Linked DNA regions of Drosophila melanogaster. The protein of the gene in region 2 purifies or fractionates together with the protein of the main gene of each other region. This does not show direct contact. Each region holds a gene or a part of one and is shown on either strand. Other genes may lie near its edges. The genes, in order: CG1603, AIF, Sk2 and GAPcenA.

Region 1 (5,014 bases), on a different chromosome or scaffold from region 2:
CCAAAATTGATCTCACTCCGCACGCGTAAAATGGAGAGCGTAAATTTCTTAAAATAGAATGTACTTCCTTGTGTGTGTTAAAACAACAAACGAGAAAGTGTATATGAGCATACTTGTGCTAGAAAACTTTCGTCTCGAAATCAATTTTGATCTCAGAAACGAAGGTACATACATACATATTTAAAGTTTTGGTCAAAGCTTGTTGCAATACGATCTACTACAGAGTTATTTAAAATTTAATGCCTTGACTATTCTTTTAAGAAGAGTTGTTATTAATTAAATACCGCTTATTTATTTTTGCTTATAATTAAAAATATTTAAAATTGCACTGACGACATACTTCAACAAGGGTCTATGAGCAGTATCTTGTACCGTATAAAAATTATTTTCATCATTATTTAAGCTAATAAACTAAATAAAGTCTTAAATCGTTATTATAACTATTGTAATTAAAAATATAAATTTGGCAAAAAGGAAAATACATTTAAAAAAATATATTTCATAAAAGAAATATAAATACATTGTTAAAAATGAATATATATAAAATTTTGTACACGTCATTTGATCAAAAATAATAATAATAGAGCTGCTAGCTCTAGAGCTCTCCGCTCTCTGACTTTTGAACAAAAACTCGGGAGAGCCTCAAGCCAGCTCTAGATCTAGAGCCAGAACCAAAAAATCATATGTTATTCTAATATCTCCTCTACAAGTAACGGTTATACAAATTTATCTTAAAACGAACTTATTTTTCCGGCTTCTTCTTTTTTTTATGAATAATACATTCCTTAAACCAAATTTTGAAAAGGAAAGTATGAAAAAGGAAAAGCTTGTGCATATGATTATCATACACATGTTCTTATCAAATACACAAAAGCCGTAAGTGCTTAACAACACGCTTGTTATTATCACTACTCTAACGTAAGTTTATTCTTGATTTACATCAAATGAAGCTTACTGATTCTCGTTATCAAAAAATAAAGCAGTTTCTAAAAATGTCCCTCAAGGCGAGAGTTCATTCCGATCTGTGGCTGCGGCGATGTCTGGAAAGCGAAGAATGGTCATAGAACGTAGCATCACAGTACTCGCACTTCTTATCACGGATATTCAGATGTCCTTTGATATGGTTGGCCAGCTCGAACTTCTTGCGGAAGGTTTTGGTGCACATATTGCAGCTGTAGGGTCTAATGTTCAGGTGAACTCCGTTGACGTGGTGGTCCAGGAGTAGCTTGAGCCGGAATGTCTTGCCGCAGATGTCACAGACGTGAGGCCGCTCGCCCGTGTGGATTAGTGTGTGCACCTTTAGGTCGGTATCCACGGCGAACGATTTTTCGCAGTACTGGCACTTCAACTTGCGTTCGAAGTGGGAACGCAGCTTGTGACGGTCCATGTCTACGTGGCGGTCGAAGCGCCTCGGGCAGAACGAGCAGAGGTACGGTAGGTCGCCCACCTCGTGCGCCTTGACGATGTGCACCCGTAGGTTGTAGTCGCCGTGGAAACGTTTATCGCAGTAGTCACAGTACAGCACCTGACTTTCGGAACCCTTGGCGGGCAAGAAGCTGCACATTTGCAGATACTGAACCTCTTGCTTGCTGCACTTCTGAATTAGTTCCTTGGATTTGAGGCGACGAATGGCATCGTAAAGCCAACGGCGCAGCTTGTTGACCGCAATGTAAACGTCCGTTTCGTTGGCCTTCACCACTGGCTGGAATTCCTTTGCCATTCTTTTGAAGGCATCTGCACGTATCTCTATTGAGCCAAAGTCTGGCAACGCTTGATTATACAGCACGGGATAGTTGGCATAGGTCTCTATGAATGAGGTGGTTATCAGGTTTTCCTCCTTAAAATTAAGCTGAAAAAAGGATTTTTGGTCAGAAAAGAGCTACATTATAGTGGGCTAGTTATTACCTTAATTGCAGTCAAGTCGTTGTCCTCCTCGTTCTCCCTTGGCGTTACAACAGGCGCCACACTGAGGAACTCGCACTTGGCAAAGTAACGCGCTGCAAGTCCAACAAGCTTTCCCCTTTGTTTTGTCTCCAAAGCCAGCGTGTACTGCACGTGCAGTTGCTCGAGCGTTTTCTTCAGTTCTTCCACGGTGAAGAGAACATTGGCCTTGCGGTCCATGCGTTCCATTATCGCCTCGTAGGCCATGCTTCGTGCAGGCTCGTCCTGGTAGTGTTCATCGGAAGGGTTCCACAGGCAGGGATGCTCTTTGTACGCTTGGATCAAATGCAGCACACGGGGATTGCTCCGAATAAACGAAACTTTGAACTGAATGACGCCGTTAAGTGGAATGAATTTCAGCTTAAGTGAAATATACTACGTACTAACCTTGAAAACCTGTCCTGGTCTTGTTCGCCTGGGCGGACGTCCAGGTTTTCTAGGAGGTGCCAAGTCATCCTCAGACATAAAGAAGTCACTACAATCAACATCATCATCGTCTGTGTTTAGGGGTATGTGATTTTGGGAAGACTCGTCCATTTGTGTGACTTCCTTTCCGGCTGGAAGTTCCAAAGAGCTGCCGCCTGGACCGAACTCCCAGGAATTGTTTGTAGCTGCAGACCAAGCGGTGGCGTCTTCCTCGTACTGGATATCCTGCGGTCAACGAGAGCTCACTTATTTGACCACCCTTGGTAAGCGAGTGAAAGAGTCTTACCTTGCTATCAGCTTCCATCCATTGATCGACCCCATTGCTGTTTTCGATCACCTCGAAGAACTCATCCGGCCCATAGGCGATGGCTGGGTCCGCCGCGTCAACGACGCTGTATAGCTCCTCGGTATCCTCTTTGATTTCATTAATCCTAACGTCCTCGTCTTCGCAGTAGTGCGCCGATTTCACATGGACGATGAACAGCTCCCAATCCTTCAGCTCGCTCTCTATGCTGCAGTAGAGGCATTTCAGCCGGAACATCTCGTACTTGGAGTTGGTCATCACATTGCCGCACAGCTCCATGCTTACGTTGTGCGCTCTGATCTGACTTCAGCTTGAAAAATGTTCCTTTTCTGAAAATATATTCGTTTATTTAAGGTAACAATTTTTTTATGCGTTTGGGACTGTGTTGGACAACGACTGAAATAATTATGTATCGATAGACTATTCGATAAAAATCTATTTTTAAAATAATATTTAAACACAATTTTATGAAGGCTTAAAAGAAAACGTTTTAACAACTGTTGGTGGTGCTTAAAAATGATTAAAAATCTGCATTTCATGAATGAATCTTTAAAGTAACTAGTACATTTCAATTTTCGAAAAAAAATGTTATAAAATTCTAGTACTAACCATTTGGAAAAATCAAAATCAATCAAGCTTATTTGTTGAGAAATTATATTTTTTTTGTCATATCGATAGAAAATAGCGAGACAAATATGAACAGGAAAACACCAAAACGTTTTTCAAATGTATGGGCGTTACAGTTGTCGGCGCCTTGTGGGCGTGCCAACATTTTGGAAAAAATAGCGCAGCGTAGGCAGGGGAATGTGTTTAGGCTTTTAGATGTACATCCCCAGATTTCGACAGATGGACATGGCCAGATAATGTAGAATTTATATTCTTAATTATTAATATACATTCTTAAACCGTTATATAAATAAATTTGTTTAAACATATTGTTTCACTCTCATTTGTGTATTTTTATTTCCCCCCATTTGCAAAAGATTGCCTATTTATAAACTGTCATTTTATTGCAAATTTAATCAAATTCAGTTCTCTGCATCCACAGCATCTTTACCCTTTTGTGAATTATTACGAAGAATGTTGTGGGTGCGCTTCATGTGCGTATTAAGACCCACAAACTGGGAGAACCTGGAGTCGCAGAGTTTGCACACAAACTTCTTCACCTCGGAGTGAATCTGCCGGTGTCGGATGAGTGCATGGCAGCTGGTGAATCCCTTACCGCACACACTGCAGATTTTGTCGCGGATGTTTAAATGGCCCTTGATGTGATCCGATAAGTCGACCTTTTTCACAAAGTCTTTGGGACACATGGTGCACTTGAAGGCTCTGATCTTCGTGTGAATAGCCGTGACGTGGAGCGTCATTTGGGACCGCAGTCGGAAGGCCTTGCCGCAATGCTCGCAGACGTAAGGCTTGTGGCCAGTGTGCGTACGGATGTGCAGCTGCAGGTCCGACATCACAGCGAATGAACGCTCACAATGGGTGCACTTGTGGGTCTTGCCGATATGGACCCGCTGTATGTGATTAGCCAGCTCGCAACGTCCCACAAAACTTCGGTCGCACAAGGTGCATTTGAAGGGCAGCTCGCCGATGTTGTGCGCCTTGAAGATGTGCGACTGCAGGACATGATCCGAGGACGTAATCTGGTGGCAAAATTCGCAGACCAGCCGCTGCTTGTACATCTTTGCAGGCATGAACCGACACACCTCTAGGTAGAACTTCTCGGCTGTACTTCCGGCATAAATGGCATGCTTAGTGTTCTTGTAGTACCATTGGCGGAGATTCTGGATGGCGCGGAATATGTCATCGCTGTTGATGTCCACATTGGGCACTGAGATTTCCGCAGCCATGCTCTCGTATGCCTGTTTTCGAGAGCTCATATTGGAGAACTCCTTGTGGTTGGAGTCGTATAGCTGCGGAAAGTTTGCGTACATCTCTATCAGGTCGGTAGTCAGCTTGTTTTTCTTGGAGAAATCAAGCTGCGGGCAAAGTATGCTTGTTAACAATTTCAATTTGAATTAATTCAAATATCTTGCCTTAATTTTTTCGTTATTCGTAGCCCCTTCTTCATCGTTGCTAGCGTTCAAGAAGCAACACAATTTGTATATACTGAAAGCCAGCGATTGAGGTTTCTGTTTTCCAGACACCACCCGCTTGTGCACGGTGTTGAACTGCATGTGGACTTTCTTGATGGCCAGCTTTAAGGCCATCTCGTTCAGGAATACGGATACAGTTGCCTCCAAGTCAATGGCCATACGCTTCAGGGCTTCTTTGCATTTCTTGGGTTCCTTGTAGTCGCTGTGAGCGGGATTCCAAAGGCACGGGTGTTCCTTGTAGATC
Region 2 (5,701 bases):
GGATCCTACTTCAGCGAAAATAATATTTCGCGAATTTTATTGATCCTCGCTATATTCAGCTAATCCAGCCTAAAACCCTAAACCAGGTGCTCGTCTTTTATAAGGCAGATGGTTTAGTCAAATTCTGGGAAAATTCCAAAAAAATATGTACATTTAAATTCTGTGCCGTTGTGAGACAACTCGGACAATAAACAAATGGGTTATATGATTGAAGTAAAAAAAATAAGTTCCAAAGTTCCTACGATTTATTTAAATAAGAATCAAAGCAAAATCTCTTAGGATTAGTTAAATAACGGGTGCCTCAGGATCAAAAAGCGGATTTTTCAACACCGAAAATGAATAATTTGAACAGTTTAGTTGGTACGGTGAATTTTTTGTCAACAACTTTCTGGTGCTTGGTTTATTACGAAAGTTACACACAATTCAACAGAGACCCGCTTGTCTACGACTTTTCAATATTTACACGGAGATATGCACTTTGCTGCTACATAACCGAATCAATGTCGTTGACTACAAAATAAGGTTTATTCCAAAAATAATAAAACTAAAATTTCTGTTGCATTGCGTCATTGCCGTTCGTATCTAGTTGCAGTTGCAAATGTACACAGTAAACACAGTTAAAGGCATTCGGGTTGGATAGGTTCTGTTCGGTGCGTGCTGATAAGCATATCAGGGTAGCCAGATCTTCTCCATGGTCCCTCGGGACTCGCTGTTCTCTACGCGTGAATCTCGAACAGTTTGGCCACCTCATTGAGGTCATCGTACTTCTTATTCTGATTGATTATTGTCCTAGCTAAGCCTATCCGATTGAAGAGGTTCCACAGCAGGATGCCGACGATCTTGTCGTTCTTCAAGTAGAATATTACACCCTTGCCATAGTTGCCCGCCTCATCGGGATCACAGGTAACGCCATCTTGGCTAGCCCCGGCATCAGATTTTGACGACTGGCTGGAACTCGTACTGGTCTCCGGCACGTCGGAATCACTAGACTCAGACAGTTGGTCAACGCGCGTGGCGGATTCCGAGGGCAGGGCGAACACACCAACGGTGGGTAGCGAGGAATCCACCAAGCCAATACCCTCGTATCCGATCTCTGGACCTAGATCGGACCAAAACATGCTCTGATGTTGATAAGGTTTCTCTGCAAAAGGTACGGCGAACATTATGATCGATCGGTTATTAACTTTAAGCCCAGTAACTTACTTGCTCCCGTCATGTTCTCGCCGGCCAGCCGACCAGAGACCACCGAGTGATCATGGTGCTCCACCCGTCGCCTGCCCAGCAGAGGATCGAAGAAGCAGGAAGCATCACCGGCCACGTACAGGTTCCGCCTGGCCTCCAGCTCTGCATTAACCACAAAACCGCCGAGACTTCTGTCCACCTCTAGCCTGCTGGGTCCCGCGAGATCCGTGTTTGGCGTGCAACCCACGCAGACCACCACCACGTCCGACATCAAAGTCATTCCATTGTTTAACTCCAACTTTAGATTGGTTTCATCGCGAACTGCCGAGCGAATGCTGGCGTTGGGGATGACGCAGACACCCTGGGCTTCCATCTTTGCCGTCGTCCAGCGACTCAAGTAGTTTGGAAGGACCTTTGACATGTTGGCATTTTCCTGGAACACCTGGTACACTTTACCGCCATTGTTCTCTCTGGAATAGTGTGCCAGGGAGCAGGCCAGTTCACTGCCGATAAATCCATTGCCAACAATTGTGATTGAACGCTTTTCCGCCGCCAATTTGCGGAGGCGATCAAAGTCATCGGGTGTGCGATAGACCATTACTTTTTCGAGCACGCTGGGCGGAGCATCACGCAGCATGGGCAGGTTCTTGGGGGCACAGCCGGTGGCAATTAGGCATTCGTCGTAGCTTATCTCGTAACCGTCGTTCAACGTCACTATGCGTTTTTGAGCGTCCACCTTCTTCACAGAGAAACCTTGAGCGACGGCAATCCCTCCATTTGCATTATCATCCAGATCCTCGGGGTCAATGAAAAACTCATCCGGCTCAAAGAACAAGCTGTGAACAGGAAGGGAATAACTTAATGGGTTTCAATTATATAAAAAAAGTTATTCAGACCTACCTTCTCTCGGATCCCGTCCATTGTTTGAATCGATAGTCCTTGATGGGATCCTCGTTAGGATTGGGCGTATACCACAGTTCCTTGGACAGTGGGGGGCGCATGTAGGGTTTGCGGAACTCGTTGCTAATCATTAAAACCTTGGCTGTTGCATCGTTAGACTTGATGGCTCGGAAAGCAGAGAAGGCAGCGGTTCCGCCGCCGATAATCAGGTACGGCACATGCTTGGGAAGGTCCTCAGAACTGGGCGGACCTGCGCATAGAGAGAAAGTGATAAGTTACCTCGGCCTATCTTGAAAATTGTTGTAATTATTATCCAATCATGATGATTTTGAGGTATGTATAAGATAATGCTTATCTGAATCAGTTGGCAAATGTGGTTTAATCTAGCCTACCAATTCAAAAATCTATGGTTTTCGCTTTACTTACTCGTGGCTAGTCCAGCAACTAATCTACGTTTTCGTTCCTCCTCCTCCGCCTCGGCTTTTTTGGCTTCACTGTCATCCGTATCCCGCGTCATAAACCAAGCGAGCTATATGATAGCAAAGTAATTAGAGAATATTTCCTTTAGATATCAGATCGAAACATACAAATCCTCCGGCTAACAAGGCAGCCAGGGCACCCAAGAGGCACTTAAGCCGTAGGTCCTTCATCCGACACTCGCACTCCTCGTCTCCACCATCACCGCCACCGGGAGCAGTACCATCCTCGTCGCAGGGCTGGCAGGTGGTCTCCTTTCGTTTGCGCTTGAATTCCTCGCAGGGACTAGTCGCTTTGCAGGAATCCAGGACGGGTTGGCTGGTGCTGAGCTTTGCACTGTCCGACTTTAACACATCCTTAGCACTGCAGACGGACTTGACGTCAGCAAAGCCCTGGAAATTGATTATATTGTTTAATATTTGTTAATAACTCTGCAAGTCTTTGATGGGGATGCAAACTGGTTTCTGTTTAATAACCCAGCTATGTTTTCGCTAGTTATCAATTTCACAAGGCTTGTAGGAAGTTAGTTTGCATCCCCAACTTATCCAGCTAATGCAAATGGATGGTGAATGGTATGAACGATGGGTACCACTTTAAAGAGTGGCTCCGATTGGGAATGGGCTTGAAACTGGGCATTGGCGTAGGCGGGAACGCCGGCTCCCTCCACCGCCGTCTCGTACTCTTCAACGGGGGGCGTGGTCGAGGGCTTGGTGACGCAGACTTGATGATTTGGATATTTGTTGGCTTGCAATTTGGTGCGCGCCTCAAGGGTGCGTTTCTTTACCATTTGATAGAGGCTGCTGTGGGCTGGCCGAAGAGGAGCTGAAATCGACGTGAATGCTAGTTAGTTATCGGCAAAAACATGAAAACACGGATCGGTTTGGCCAGCCGGCCATAACCTCACTTACCGTATGCCGGCGGCGAGCGCTGCGGCACTGGACCCAATAGCCTTCTGTTGGCCAGGATGTACGCCTGCCGGATGAACCTCTGCGTCAGACATCGGACCCCCCAAATACTCATCGTGATTTGCACTGGCTGCGGAGTAGGTGACACCACAATCCACAATTGTGTAACGTAACAACGTTGTGCGGCGAAAGAAACGTGTGTTTTGCGAGTTCGTGTTTTATTTACAAAAAAACCAATTTCTATGACAAATTTCTCCGTGTGAAGTCCGGCGGTGTTTAATTGATCTCGACTCCTTTATCCCTCCTTGCTTTTGGGTAGTCCGCGTTTAATTTATATTTATTTTTCATTCCCTCGCCTGTCTTGTTTTTTTCTGTCTCTGTCGCAGTGTGACCGTCGCAATGAAATGGGAAATGGCCCAGCGCCTATTCGAAATTATTTGGCTTGAAAATAGCCACTTTTTATCAAAAAGTGTTCGTTGGTTTTTGAAATGTTGAACAATATTTAATTTATTTTGAGCAAGTGAAATTTTAAAATCGAACTTACAAGCTCTTTGTTTTGAAAACGATAAATATTAAAAAACATGTTAAAATAAAGATGTGCTTCCAAAATAAAGAATAAAAATTCTTATGAATACCACTTATGTATGTTGTCAGTACAATTGTGCATTAATATATATTAAATACATGTGGGAACATTCATTTATCAGCACTCGCTTGCTGCAAAGCGGCTGCAGCAGCTGCTCCACTTACGGGAGGCTTGATGTCCATTAGTTGGCACAACTGGTTCCGCAGCGGACGCACCTCCACCAGCGGCTGGGTCCAGTCCGTTTCGGAGAGCAGTGTTAGGATCTCATCCATATTCTCCTCGGGCACTTCGGTGACATCGCCGTGCAGAGCCAACGCTTCGTACAATTTTGTGGCAGCGGTTTTGCGAACGTGGACGTGCTGCAGTCCAAGAAATACTGAGAGCTTGGAGAGGATGCGTTTAGACAGGCGAGGAACCTGGAGCAACTGGCAAAAAGCACTGATGCTGGTCGCAGTCTTGTACAGCTTCTTGTAGCCCTTAACCTCCAGGTTGAGCAGCCTAAAGATATCCTCTGCAAAGGGATTTGCTTCATCGTGTAGAACCGATTCTACAGTTCCGGAGCCAATGAGTATATCCAGGAAACTGAGCAGAGGATAGGTCACGCGCTCGTTTAGTAGATGCTCCTCGAAAATCTGGACCACCTCGGAGCAGAGACGCGGAACAGTCTCAGGATTGGAACGCAAGAAGTGGAATAAGGCACTGGAGGCATACTTGATCTGCAGGAAGAATATTTTAGAGATTGATATAGAGGTGGTCTATACAACTTACAAGAGATTCAGTCAGTTGACCAATGCTGGCACTCAGACCCAAAAGAACTCTTTTAGAGTAATCCGGCAGAGAGAGCAGCTCGCAGAACAGCGGGAATGTGTGATCGGCAAATAACCAAAGTACGGAATCCGCATCCGCGGGAAATATTTCCAAGAGTTTTGAGTGCTCCCGTATGTAGGGGATCCTCGGCTGATGATGGATCAGTTGGCAGCAAAGGCGACCACCTAATCCACGAGTGCGATCGATCTTCTCCACCGCCTGTTGCATAAAGCCCACGACAATCTCATGCACTTGCTCTGGGGCGAGGAGATCAGGCGGACACGTAGTGACGATTTCGTATAGCGATGACATAGCCGCCTCCCTCACCCACGCTCCGATGTCACCACGGTTGTCCAGGGTGTACTCTTGAAGAGCTCTTAACAGGCATTCGATAACCTTGTTAAAGTTTTTCGGCTCAGCAAATGAGTCTGAAAAAATAATTGTATACTAAGATTTGTTCACATTCTTAGCCCACAACTAAGATCATTGACTCACCAATTCCCCCTCCATATCCCACGGTCTTCACCAACTTGGTCAAGGCCAGCACGCTCTGTGTCCGTGCCTCGCTCCACCTGTATGCCTGGATGTTCTCGCGGTCACCCATTTCACCCACCAGAACTGCTTGCAGTGGAGTTAGGGAGTGCTTCACCAGACTGTCCAATATAGCCTGCAGATGACAGCGGATCATAAAGGATGGGAGCACACCCAGAGCAGCAATGTAGCCCATGCGAATGTGCTCCTCCAAATCGTTATCTGCACCTGTTAGATAAGTGTTGATTATGGCTTCGTTTTCCCCGTGCCTGGAATCTGAGCAGTAATAAGTGGTACAGAGTTCACCGAACGC
Region 3 (5,332 bases), on a different chromosome or scaffold from region 2:
AGCGACGCAGCGAAAAGTCATTGTGATACTGCTTTGGATCCGCCTCCACAATCAATTTCATGCGCTCCTTGAGATCCTTGAAGTCCTGCTCGTTAATTGGCGCCAGCTCCTCGGACGACATATTGTAGAGCACGAATCGCTTCCTGACCGGAATGCAGACTGGGATTCCGTGCTGGAGAGTCGCGGACTGGAATCGGAATGTGCTGACACTATGTGAAATGCAAGCAGCGCTGTTTATTTTTACTCGGAAATGTTTTTTCACAAACGGAACGGATTTGTTTTTTTCTTTTTTTTCGACCAGTGTGACCGGCTGAAACTCTCTAAAAGCTGTCATTTGCGTTCCACAACAATACTAAATGCAAGCACGAAATACCGAAAAATTACCGTTATTGGTTGGAACCGTTACATTTTAATAAAAGCTTTAATTGATAATAAATTTTGAAAAATATTTTAAACTATATAGTAAAGAGAAGAAAACAAATTGAAACAGAGCTGAAATTAGTTAACATTTTTATTTTTTATTTCAAGCTCAAAGATGTTATATTCTTAACTTCCTACTTTAAAATATGGAATTGTAAATGATTTAGCTCTGTTACTTACACTGTTACTTTCTAAGATTTTTGAATTCATGAAGATTTATTTGTATTCATCTTTAAACATTTTGAATATATATCTCATTTCGTTACACAGTTTAAAAAAAAAAAGAACAAAATAAATAAGACTTTCATCGCTATTTTGAACAGCCGAGATAAAAATAAATTCACGTGCACTTCATATGGCACACGTTTTATAAACAAACATGTTAGATATTTCGGAAATAGCTGTTATTGTGTTTAAAATGTTAACAATACATGATTGGTTGGCAGAAGCAGGCCACAAAAACACGAAATATGTAGAATGCACAACTCTCTCATATCGGCCACCTGGGACCCTAAGTATTAGCTACAAATGCAGAGATTCCAAAATTGAGATTTCTATTGCTTGATGGTCTTCAGTAAGCTCCTCCTACTTGGGCACCATGACGCGGGCTATGCCCGGCAGGACCTCAGCTTGGAGGGGCCCGAACTCGACGCGCTCGCCGTCGACCGTGATGATGCCGTGATTGTCGTAGGGCTCCAGGCGGAATGCTCGCACTGGCAGCACCTTCACATGGTCGTCGTGCGACTCCGGCAGGTGAGTGCCGGAGCTCATGTTGTAGAGGAAGCTCAGCAGGTGCGGGCGGCTGATGCCGGCGCGTATGAGGATCAGGTAGATGGTGCCGTCGTTCAGCTGGGCCTTGGGCGCAAAATGACAGTCGATGCCCAGATGGGTCTGGTAAACGGCGTGCATCATGACGAACTCGCCCTCCTCCACCAGCCAACCCTGATCCTCGGACAGCGGTTCGTTCAGATCCGGCAGCTCGCTTGCCGGACCGTAGTTCTGCTGCCGGTTTTCCAGCGAGGCGGCCGCCAGGCCGGCGAACTCGCTCTCATCCGCCAGACTGTGGTAGATGCTCTCCGATATGGAATAGTAAAAGCTGCGCCGCGATCCCCCCGACAACCAGCTGTCGCACCTCGAGCGGAACGACTGATTGATGGACGTCTCCAGGGAGATCACGTCCGCAAACTCCTGTGGCAGGTACTCGGCACTGGAATGATAGATGGGCGCCGGCCCATTTAGCATGTCGATGTGCGTGTTGCAGCTACGGCTGCTCTGCATTCTCCGCTGGGCAGCATAACCGGTAGCGCTATGGGTTGAGGACACCTCATGGTCCGTCAGAAGATAGCTGATTCGGCCGTTGTAGGTGCGCAGATTCACCAGACGGTAGAGGGTCCACACGGTGAAGCGCTGGTAGCCCAACATGCGAATGCGCTCGCTCTCGATGTCCACGTCCGAGATCAGACCCCAGCCGATGGACAGGAAGGAGTAGAGGGAGCGACTCTGCAGCTGCACCCGGACCACGTCCATGGGTGAACTGCGTCCACTGATTACGGTCAGAGCAGCTCCTAGCACTGGCTTGCTGAAGTATGGTTCGCTGGGGAGAAAGGTTTCAAGTGAATAGGTTTCAACACAAGACTGATAATCGGATTACGACCAATAGATCGGATATGAGACACCTGAATGTGGTTTTAAAGTCTATAAACATTCTTTTCTATTACCCTTTTTATACTCTTTTATCGGGAAGTTGAGCTATAGATGAACATAAAGAAAGAACATAAAGATTTCAAAGTTCGATGATATGCCACTAAATGTTGAACGAAATTGGGGGGCAATTACTTAACGATGTGGAAAGTTTGTTCTAGTCTGACGTCAATTTAACTTTAAGGGGATATCCCCACTTGCAAAACAACAAAACCATTTGACACGATAAGAAAACTACTTTTGCTTATGAATGTAATCTAATGATAAACTGCATGGCTAGACGCTGGAGGGATTGTTTTACACGAAATATGAAGATCCACATAAGTCAAAAGGGGGTTTTTCCTAATGAAACATGAAACAAAGATAACATACTTGTAACAATGGGCAATGGAGCGGGCCAATCCATTTCCGGAGCCGCAAGGAATGATTCCCAGTGCCAGATGAGGCAGGACGTGGGCCCAGTCCTGGCGCTGCAGCAGTCCATTGACTATCTCGTGGAAGAGACCGTCTCCGCCGACAGCCACCACGCAGCACCAGGCGTCCAGGCACCTGGTGCTCAAGAACTCGATGGCAAAGTTGGAATGCTTGGTTACATACAGGTCGTAGGGCACCTCGGCCTCGTTGAGCACCGGCGTCACGTGCATGTTGAAGACCTCACGAGCGTCACCGGAACCGGATTTGGGATTCAACAGCACAAGCACTCGACGGCGTCGCTCATCCACCGTCGGCGCCACAAAGATCTCCTCCAGCGTGCGATGCAACTGCCAGCGAAGGGATCTGTACCAACGATCCGCCTCCCTCATGTTGTCCTCGAAGGTGTCGAACGACCGGAAGCGCAGAGTGAGCACCGTTCGCTCCCGGTGCAACTCCGACCGCAGGCTCCTCTTCTTCAGAACATAGGCAAAAACGTAGAGAAACGCGCTGACATCGCCGCCATCCGAAGGAATATTATCCCGACTATTGGTGCTGCATTTGCTTGGTGTGGTGGCAGGGCGATGGTGATCGCCGGACGCCGAGATGGCTGGCGAATTGGGATTACCGGAGCTGCACGCACAGGCGCCCGACATCGCCAGGCGCCGGCTCTTCTTGGGCCGCATGCAGCGGGCACCCACAATGTCCGATATGCGGACATGTTGCTCCTTAACAATGCTACCGCCCGGCGACTCCCGCTGCAGGGTGAATCCTGTGGCGTCAAGGCGCACCCGAAATACGTGGCTGCCCTTCTTGCGCTGGCTCGTGTAGAAGGTATCGCTCACGTCGTGGCCCTCATCCGCATCCTGCGTTCCCGGGGGCGTGGCCCTGGAACTGGCCGAGCTCGGGCTGGTGGTCTTATCAAGAGATTCGCTCATTTCGACTGGAGATTCGGCTGCCAAGCAGCATGTTTCAGGTCTTTTGTGTCCAGGCTTTTATGGATCGCTTATCATCCAATCATAGCCGCAGTGTTACCGTCGGTGGCAGGCGCGAATATACCAACTGGCACAAATAAACTCAAAATTCTTAGAACTTAAAGAGGCTAGCTTAAGGAAACTATTGCAATACAATGCAATAATACAAATGAATCCACAAAAACGTCAGCTCATAACAAATTTAACTTGTCACTGCATTGAGTGCTGAAAGCTTTTTGTTGATATTTTTCTGTGTTCGAATAAATACCAAAATATATGACAGAATATTTCGTACGGTGCATTTGCGTTGCATTTTTCGGCGTTCGCAACGCGGTCACCCTGCATTTAGTGTTTTGTGAACTGTTAAAGAATCCGATACGAATTTAATTGCTGGGAATAACAATGATGCAGATGAGCGAGTACAAGGTGCTCCCGCAGAATGCACCGCAGGACGAGAATGGCGCAGTGGTCCTGCAGCCGCAGGCGGCGAATGTTGGCAACAATGCCAACGGACCTGGTGCGTAGCGATGGACATATATGGATTTGTCCACTGTTGAATTCCATCACTCGGATGGACCTAGTCGGTTGCGCGCGTCTGTGTGGGCTAGTGGGCGTGTGCGAAAGGCGGAAATGCCGTCGTCTCTTTCTTGGCATTTAGTACAGCAGCGGGCATGGCAATAGCACCCATAGTTATCTATGTAAAAAAGATATTTTATAATGTACCAAAAAGTGAAGTGATTCCAAGTCAATACGTAAATACATATTGTTTAAAATATTAGTTTATGTTAAGAACTGCTATCACTGGCCCTAATCGCCTGACCGCCATTGTAGCTATGCTAATTTCCTTTACCCATGCATAGATATCGGAAAAGCACTTTATGCATATAGATAAATATAAATACATAGGGAGCTAATCCGGAACAACGCCCCATTGCAGAAAACTGGATGTCGATACCCGTGGGCATGCCCAACTGCCCGCAGGGACTGGAATACCTGACCGCTCTGGACCAGTTGCTCGTGTCGCAGAAGATCGAGAAACTGGAGCTGCTCACCGGCTTCGAGACGAAGAACCGCTTCAAGGTGAAGAACTCACTGGGCCAGAATGTGTACTTCGCGTACGAGGAGAGCGACTGCTGCACCCGCAACATGCTCGGCCGGTCGCGCCCCTTCGAGATGAAGATACTGGACAATTTTCAGAACGAGGTGCTCCACCTGTACCGGCCCTTCAAGTGCGACATCCTCTGCTGCTTTCCCAGCTGCATGAACGCCGTGGAGGTGTCGGCGCCACCCGGCCAGGTGATCGGTAGCGTTGAGCAGGTCTGCACCTTCATGCGGCCCAAGTTCAACATCAAGAACACATGCGGCGATACCGTCCTGCAGATCGAGGGACCCGTCTGTCCCTGCAAGTGCTTCAGCGATACCAACTTCAAGGTCAGTACGCAGCCAACAAGTGGTTATTCTTGGCTCTCGATCTCGATTCCCAATGCCCAAACAAGTGTATACACACACAGCAGCGGTCAGCGGATTAGCTTTAAATTCTTCGGAGGAGTACATATGTATGGTCTTCATCAGTCAAAGACGAAGCTTTATAAAATTCCAAAATGAACAGTATCAGGCGTCCACTTAATTGCTTTTTTAATTATTAAACATTTATAAGTGCCTATATACATATATTCTAAATAATTATGAACAGACAGAAGCGTTCAAATTAATAGCACCCACACTAGTTTTAAATTTTCAATTGTATACGTTATTTAACAGATGCCTCTAGATATAGGAAAATCAATCAATCAATTTATACTTTTTATGGCTAAAATGCACCAAGT
Region 4 (7,827 bases), on a different chromosome or scaffold from region 2:
ACTACGCGACAATGGCGGTATCGACGCCACAAAAAACGAGCGAGGCAATGCAGCGATTGTTCTTCATCTGAGCGGGAGATTCAAAATGGAAGAGTGGACAAGTGGAACGATAGTATTAAAGCCTGGTGTGATTCTGGTCGGATTCTAGTCACATATAAATAAATAAGCCTGTTTCTTACTCGAATGTTATTAGCTTATTGAAATTCTTAATAAATAATTAACTTCAACTTCATCAAGACTTATCCAAAAGGTCGCAACGTTTGTATTCTTTATAATATGTACCATACCGCAAAAAGAAATGAATAATTACATTATGAATTAGCATTTTTTGTTAATTTATTTATTTATAGCCGTTATACGTGTAGCATTTGCCAGAGCAGATCAATATGTGCCCCAGATCAGATCACAAAAAACAACAACGAACATCCATCGCCCAAGATTCACTTCAACCCACTAATTGATCCGGGGCACATCCTGACCAGCACTGACTTTCGGGTGCCTCAAAGTGCAAAATAATAAAAATCTATTACTCGCGTATATATGGAAATCAAAATGCACGTTTTTATATGTATATATAGACGAATATGATAAATAATACCAGACGTAGTCAATGCCGTAGGTCTGCCTGCTATCCAGATCCTCCTACGTTGTAGCTGTATCGTTTCCTACTGCTGCAGCTGTTGCTTGAGATTCTCGGCTAGCGTTTTGCCAGTGTCCAGGGGCACTACTATATTGCGCAGACTATCGATGCTGTTGCGCAGCTTGGTGGCCTGGAATTTGCTGGGCAACTTCGGTGACCCTCCCACCGACGCAAATGCAAAGGTCTTGTACTCCTGGGCAGCCATTCGAGGGACCAAAAGATTCAAATTCAGTATGTTATATACACGGGGTTTTATTTGCAACGCAAAATATCAATAAAATCATAAGCAACCCGGGTTTTAGGGTACTAACAGAAACAGCAGAGGGGTTCAATGCCTGCATAGAGTCGACTAAATAAAGATTCTCAATGTGTGTCATGGTGTGAGGTTAAGCGCGTAATTAAATTAATCAATGATAAGTAATGGGTATTAATAAAGTATTTCGAAAACATTCCTGGAGCTCAGCTCGTGGGCTGATAACCCATATCTTAATCATAGAAATAATACATAAAAAACTTAAAAATAATAAACTGAAGATCTTTCAGTCATAACAGTTGGCCGGATCACTGGACTCTAGGTTACCTGATTGCCGCTGGGGGAGCTGGCCTCGCTTAGGGTAGTTGGCGCCTGGCCCATGTAGGATTGGAATGAGGGCATCGGTCCGCCACTACCATTATCCCGATGGCCGCCTCGCGTGGTTACCTTCTCCTGCAGCGAATTGAAGGTCTTCGATAGCCAGGGCTGCCAGCTGTTGCGGTTGGTTTGCAGCTCACTGAGCGTATTGCTGAGCTGATGGTTCAGGTCCTGGTTCTTGCACTCGGCTTCCACTTGAGCTAGCTTGGCCTGGGCCAGCTCCAGCTCTAGTTCGCGGATGCGTTGCGAGGCAGCGTTTAGCGGATCAAGTGGACCCAGTGGATGCTCATTGGCATTCCGCATGGCATCGGTTTGCCCCCTGTTCTTGCCGTCATCTGACTTAGCGTTGTCATTGCCGGCGTCGATCTGCTGCTGACAATCCTGGCAATTGGAAACCATGTGCTGAAAGAGAGTTGAAAAATGAATATCCCGTCAAATTCATATTACAATACAATACTCACCATCACTTTTCCTAGAGTCTCGCTTAGTGTGTTCATGTCCTGCTCTTGGCGCTGGATGATCTGCTTGTATTCCTGTATAATGCCTGTGTGCTTCTTCTCCTTCTCAACAGCTCGCTCCTTGGCGGAAGTCAGTTGTTTGTTCAATGCGTCGATTTCCGCCTGCATTTTGCGCCTCTCCTCGCCGAAACGATTCTCGTAAATCTGTGCCTCCTTCTCCAGGCGCTCCTTGTGCTGCTTCTTCAGCAGGAACTCCTCCTCGTACTGCTTCAGTTTTTTTATCTTACGTTCGCAGGCTTGCTTCATCACCTTGCGTGCCTGACTGGAGCTGCGGCACTTTTTCGGCAACGTTACCCGGAAATACTTTAGAATGCCCTCAAAATCGAGTTGCCGCAAGTCGGATTCACAGATTGATAAGAGAGTAACGGCCACCTGGAAGAGCACAGGTAGTCCGTCCAGTAGAAACACATCCAGCACGTGGAACACAAAACACAATGGGAATCGCGCTGTATATAAGGTTAGGAACCATTGGGAGGCGTACATGTGCGTCTCAATGCCGCAGGCCGTGAAGTGTTCGTGCAGCTTGGGCAGCTGATCCTTGATCAGTCGCTCCAGTTGGTAGAGACGAAGGTAAAGGACCTCGAATCCGGCTTTGTAGAGATCACGGAGCCCATAGTCGTACATAAGCGCTACCAGAACACAGAACGCATCCTCCTCAGGCATCTGAAAATGTGTGTGTAAGCAATCATTCTTAGATGTAGATTGTCATCATCATTACTTACATGAAGGAGCAGACTAGCTGCTATGAAACTTAGACCCTGACAATATCCAACCTCGCTGTCATGAACGGCATACGCTTTGGACACCTTAAAAAGTGCATCTTGGCCAGAACCGCCAATTTCTTTGAAGCATTTGTGCGCCGGGAAAGTGCGATGGATGTCCCGCTGGATAACGGTCTCACATTTGGTTTCCTACAAGTAAATTTCCAATTAATTTCTTTTCACATGGATAGCGTCTATACTCACTTTGGTGATTAAGATCTTGTACTTGTCGTTCATTTCCATTCTGCCCTCGACGTTGGCTAGCTTCTGCCAGATCTTTTCACGCAGTGCTTCTGGAACGCCGAGGCGTACTAAAGGTGCCAGATTTTTCGGTCTCTTCTCGGAATCCCACTCACGCAGAATGGGATCCCATTCGTCGAGCGTGTCCTGCGAGCAATCCTTAGATACCTCACCAGTGCCACTCAGCAGCGGCTCATCCCCATCGCTGCTGTAGTCCGAGGGACAATCATCCTCAATCGAGGCAATGGACGAACTGCGCACAATGCGCGATAGATTATTCATACCCATCTTGAGCAGGGAAGAGCTTTGCTGGTGGCCCGGCTGCTCCGTTATTTCCTCAGAGGGATCAATGCTATTCACTTTCCAGTTGGACTCTTCGGTCCGCTTTAGATGCAAATAGAATCGTAACGTCATGGGTCGCTTTGACATAAAATGGTCCATAATACGCATTTCGCTGGCCGACTGAATGGTCACTGGGGTCTCAATGACGAACCTAACCGGTTCCTGTATACGTCGCATCACAATGTCTACGGCCACAGTGAGATTGGTCTTTGACGACTCAAGATTTAACTGCTCAAAGGCCTTTTCCTGGGCTTTCCACTCAGCTCGAATTGTATAGGGCCAGGAGGAGCTCTGCTGGGCATTGCTGTCCGATTCGGTTGCTACTCCTGTTCCGCCGGGCTGAATGTAACCCATGCTGTGCATGTCGATCAAATGCATATCCTTTTGGACTACTAGTTTTCCGGGTGCCACTAGAACACCGAAACATCGTTCGATATGCAATGGTTGAAGAACATTTGACGGAGTCTGTTTGACTGTGATGCACACTTCCTTATCTGTGTTCGCCCTTAGCTTAAAGCATCCCCTATCGCGAGGCACTGCGGCATAGGAGTTCTTTGCCACTCGCTCACGGATCTCTAAGGAGACTATGAACTCATACCCAGCCGTGTTTAAAGGATTTCCGCTTACATCGGAGGTTACCGAGTTGGCCATGTCAACGGCCGAATTAAGGCTGCAACTCATGCTGGGCGGATAAGTCTGGAATGCCTTCTGGAAGCAGGCTGCGGGCGAAGATTTTGAATAAATCGGTGGGATGAAATCACTGTATGATCTGACTCACCGCTGACTTGATTAACCGCTTCGGGAATATGGCACCGAAACACATGGCACTGAAACAATGCATCGCCGTGAAGCCAAGTGAATGCAAAGCATCCGTTTTCCACCGTATCCACTGGTCCTCGATAGTACAAGATAATGCTGGATATCTCATAGGTGGCAATAATAGTATTGCTCTCGGCATCGTGGAGGCTGTAATAGCAGCATGATGACGCTCAGTGAGTAATTCAAGGGGCAGTAAAAACTTTACTCACACAACCAGGCCTTCTGAGCAATTGGGTATGCTCACAGTGATCTTCAGGCCCACCGACTTTGAGCCACTATTTAGCTCGCCCATGATGCGATAAACCTCCGTCTCGGATTTTGGGGCATTAATGTTGGCTGCGCCCAGGTAGGTGACTCCGGAAAATATGGTGCAGCCCTGATCGATTTCAGAAACTGAAAGTGAAAAACACATGGTCAATTAAATTTCAATAATTACACTAAACATAGATTTCAGCTTTAGGAGCCTAGGAACACAATATAGAACAAATAATAAAGAACTCTGTGAGTATATAGGCTTTCGTAAAATGAACAGAATTTATAGGCAAATGTACCCCTTAATTTTTGGGATTTTAACTAACTTAAGAGATCTACTCACCCTCCTCGTCGGTGGTGTCGCCCTTCTCCGGCTTCATGGCATCCTGTTTTTCCTCCACGCAGGCGGGGCTAGCGTCTATGCAGTCATAGAACACTGAATGACCCACTCTGTTTGAGCTGGATGCATCGTCGAGGGTCTCCTCGCTTTTGGGCGTGAACAAGGTGCAGGGGAAACGCATCTCGGGATCGACAGATCCCCCGCCGGAGCCCGTGAGCGGTAGGGTCAGGGACTTTTGCTGATGACTCGGGAGACGTTGCGCTGACTTCTCCCCACTGGCAGCTGCAAATATGTTAATTGTCAATTACGCGACGAGCAATAACAAATGCCGAATTATGCGGAATTTTGTTTAAGGAAAGTATTATTATTCGGTTTGTTTGTCGTTGTTTCCATGACAGCGTAGCACTACGGCTCTGCGCCGATAAGATTGCAGCTGGTTAGGCTTAGCAATCGTTTGATGTTTCCAATAGTGGAGCGACCGCGACGTTGTGTGCACAGCTGGCGTTGGGCAACGACTGAGTTTACTTTAGGCTACCCAGGGCAACCCAATTCACCCTCTCAGTTGTGTTTCTTTACTCACCTACGCCGCGTTCCAACTCCAGATCTTTGAGGGCGTCCGTCATCTCGTGCTGCATGTCGCTTAGGTTGCGATTGTGGGCCATGTCCAGAGTGGGCGAGCGATCTCCCCCAGCCTCGGGGGAGGACAGAGCCAGAGCACTCAGCGAAGTGGGCGGTTTGCCACCCACTTCAGGCTGAGTTCCCTCCTGGTTGACAACCTGCTTCACCTGCTCCATGGGACTGGCCACATTGCTGTCGGTAACTATTTCGTACTCCCCGCTGGTTGTTATCGAGGATTCCGAGGACTTGGTGCTCAGATTATCATCCATTCCGAACACTCAAGGTTGCCTCAGTTCCAGGCACTCCCAAATGGGTTACTCTTTGTTGTGTGTGTGATATATTCGGACTTTCTTTATTCTTAAGCCCTACGAATTGCGCATTTTCAGGGCAGGTAAACAAATCAATTTCTGTTCCAAGGCCACGCACTCGTACTCGCACTCGCTTTTAATAGATTTCGTTTTCAATTTGTCCAATTTTCAGCGGAGTCGCATTGTTTGGCTTGGTTCCGCCGTAAATCGATGACGAATCGGTACGGTTTGCTTGGCGTTTTGGGGGCGTACACACACGCGCATGTATGTCACACAGTGCCCAATTCGCGTGGGAACTGGAGGGGTTGGGCCTTCAAGGGGGTGGTGGACGGTGGGGTCGGCGGGGTCAACAGTTTGTCTCTGTAGCCTCTGCGCTTGGATTCCTATGGATTTTTTTGTTATTTTAGTGCGTGCAGCTGCTTTGAGCTTACACTTTGGTTTTTATATTATAGCCTACACTCCGCAGAACTGTAGTACATTGTTTTGACCCTTTATTGTTGTGTTTTTATCGGGTTTTTAGCAATTTTCTTGCAATTTTCCGTCTGTTTTGTTTACATATTTTTTTGCTAGTGATGACCTGCAGTAGGTCGATTCCTATCGAAAGGAAACAGCTGCTTTAACGTTATTCAATACTTCTTTTGAAAGTGTTAATAAGTGTACCTATCGACTTAATCGACTAGTTATTTTCTTTTCTATGCATATTGCCATATGCTTATATGGCAATCTAAATAATCCAATAGCATTACAAAGTTGTCTTTGACTGAAATGACTTGTCTTGAATAAATTTAAATAAATATAAATAAATTTTTAAATTGTAATTCAAAGAACCAAATCTATAAAGGTATGTGATGTATGGAAAATATTGAGAACATATTAAACATATAGTACATATCGAAAAAGTGTCATCGCCGTGACATAATACCCCGCCAGTGTTGCCAAATACTCTGCTACACAACACTACCGCGCGTGCTGGAAAAAAACGTGCGCGTTTATTCGTTGCATTTTGTTAAGATAATTCCTTAAGTCCGGGTACTTCTGACTCCGATTCCGACTCCCAAAAGATGTGGCCGCGATTTGGCATTAAGATTGGCAACAGCACGCTTTGCATCGCCCATGTGCGCGCGGATGGCAAGGCGGAGGTGATCGCCAACAAACAGGGCGACCGAGTGTCCCAAGCGTGCCTTCTCTGGGACGGAGCCTCGGAGATCGAATGTGGCCTCACGGCCAAGCAGAAGATGGCCAACCGTCCGCGCCAGGCGGTGGCGCACAGCTTTCAGTTGCTTCAGCCCAAGGAAGAGCTCACGGAGGAGAAACTGTCCAGTGCGCTGCGTGAAATACCCTGCGACTTTGACAAGGAGGAGCTGGTGTTCCGGATGGAGCACACTGTACCCTCCGACAGGGAGGACCAAGACGATAGAGTTGTGACCAAGGACCTCAGCGCCTATCAGGTGACGGTGGAGCTGCTGCGCGCTGAGCTGGAGCTGGCCCATCAATATCACACGGACGGGGAGCAGGCGCCCATTGCCGTGCTATCCATACCCAGCTACTATCCCGCCTCGGCCTACAAACTGCTAGCAGATGCCGCTCAAACCGCTGGCTTCCATGTGGCCCAGATTATAACCGAACCCACGGCCGCCGTTCTAGGCTATAGCATCGGCGAGGAGCAGACGGAACAGCGCCGCCATGTGCTGACAATCAAATGCGGTGGCTTATATAGCGACATCGCATTCTACTCCGTCCAAAATGGCCTGTTCGTTCAGCTGGCCACTTTCGGACCCTTCCCCATCGGTGGCCGGCAATTCACCGAGGCCTTGGTGCAGTTTATTTGCGAGGAGTTCCGTCGCAAGTACAAGCTAGATCCGCATGAGTCTCGCCGCTCAGTGGCCAAAATACGCACTGCCGCCGCCAATTGCAAACACATCCTGACCACGATGCCTTCCACGCAACTTTATATCGACTCCCTGATGGACGGCGTTGATTACAATGCCCAGATGTCGCGTGCTCGCTTCGAGAGCCTCATACAGCCAGTGATCAATAACCTCATCCAGCAGCTAGGCGAGTGTGTGGAGCAGGCGCAAAAGGAGCATCCCGGGTTGAGTAAAATAGATGACATCGTTCTACTAGGCGCCACAATGCAAATCCCCAAGCTTCAGGCGGCAGTGGGAGCCCGCTTCCCGGATGCCAAGCTCCACAACAGCCATTCGGCGGACGAGGTTGTGGCCATCGGCTGCGCGCGCCAAGCTGTGTGCCTGATTGACCCCCTCGAACAGCAGCTTCACAAGGAGGAGGATTGCGTGGTGGCTGAGGATGACCTCTTCATTTGGCACGGTAATGACGAATCCAACGCCAAATTGGTCC

The links.
Region 1: the proteins of AIF (region 2) and CG1603 purify together in Drosophila melanogaster (affinity purification with mass spectrometry, with the first as the bait; one large-scale study listed by BioGRID). This does not show direct contact.
Region 3: the proteins of AIF (region 2) and Sk2 purify together in Drosophila melanogaster (affinity purification with mass spectrometry, with the first as the bait; one large-scale study listed by BioGRID). This does not show direct contact.
Region 4: the proteins of AIF (region 2) and GAPcenA purify together in Drosophila melanogaster (affinity purification with mass spectrometry, with the first as the bait; one large-scale study listed by BioGRID). This does not show direct contact.

The regions. Positions count from the first base shown.
Region 1 is NT_033778.4:7,513,315-7,518,328, forward strand, and holds CG1603 (uncharacterized protein), read right to left. Parts: upstream 3,077-5,014; 5' UTR 2,951-3,076; coding exon 2,654-2,950; intron 2,593-2,653; coding exon 2,329-2,592; intron 2,269-2,328; coding exon 1,906-2,268; intron 1,850-1,905; coding exon 1,013-1,849; 3' UTR 532-1,012; downstream 1-531. Other genes in the region: CG1602 (uncharacterized protein), read right to left, coding at 3,700-4,653, 4,711-5,014. UniProt on the Drosophila melanogaster protein: Chromatin-binding protein involved in the organization of active promoters and insulators. Essential for the activity of heterochromatin promoters; primarily binds to specific motifs within promoters of housekeeping genes.
Region 2 is NT_033779.5:2,149,913-2,155,613, reverse strand, and holds AIF (apoptosis inducing factor), read right to left. Parts: upstream 3,861-5,701; 5' UTR 3,580-3,860; coding exon 3,468-3,579; intron 3,382-3,467; coding exon 3,149-3,381; intron 2,952-3,148; coding exon 2,670-2,951; intron 2,612-2,669; coding exon 2,509-2,611; intron 2,333-2,508; coding exon 2,083-2,332; intron 2,019-2,082; coding exon 1,204-2,018; intron 1,142-1,203; coding exon 717-1,141; 3' UTR 509-716; downstream 1-508. Other genes in the region: Tbcd (Tubulin-binding cofactor D), read right to left, coding at 4,161-4,766, 4,819-5,285, 5,353-5,701. UniProt on the Drosophila melanogaster protein: Probable NADH oxidoreductase. Mitochondrial effector of cell death that plays roles in developmentally regulated cell death and normal mitochondrial function.
Region 3 is NT_037436.4:3,045,328-3,050,659, reverse strand, and holds Sk2 (sphingosine kinase 2), read right to left. Parts: upstream 3,574-5,332; 5' UTR 3,471-3,573; coding exon 2,494-3,470; intron 2,015-2,493; coding exon 1,006-2,014; 3' UTR 501-1,005; downstream 1-500. Other genes in the region: CG32485 (uncharacterized protein), read right to left, coding at 1-121; scramb2 (scramblase 2), read left to right, coding at 3,909-4,023, 4,444-4,937.
Region 4 is NT_037436.4:8,344,773-8,352,599, reverse strand, and holds GAPcenA (GTPase activating protein and centrosome-associated), read right to left. Parts: upstream 6,040-7,827; 5' UTR 5,431-6,039; coding exon 5,124-5,430; intron 5,060-5,123; exon of another isoform or gene 4,826-5,059; coding exon 4,547-4,825; intron 4,345-4,546; coding exon 4,161-4,344; intron 4,099-4,160; coding exon 3,911-4,098; intron 3,852-3,910; coding exon 2,755-3,851; intron 2,701-2,754; coding exon 2,512-2,700; intron 2,453-2,511; coding exon 1,733-2,452; intron 1,674-1,732; coding exon 1,221-1,673; coding exon of another isoform or gene 1,212-1,220; exon of another isoform or gene 876-1,211; intron 834-875; coding exon 666-833; 3' UTR 321-665; downstream 1-320. Other genes in the region: Culd (CUB and LDLa domain), read left to right, coding at 1-71; CG7182 (uncharacterized protein), read left to right, coding at 6,531-7,827.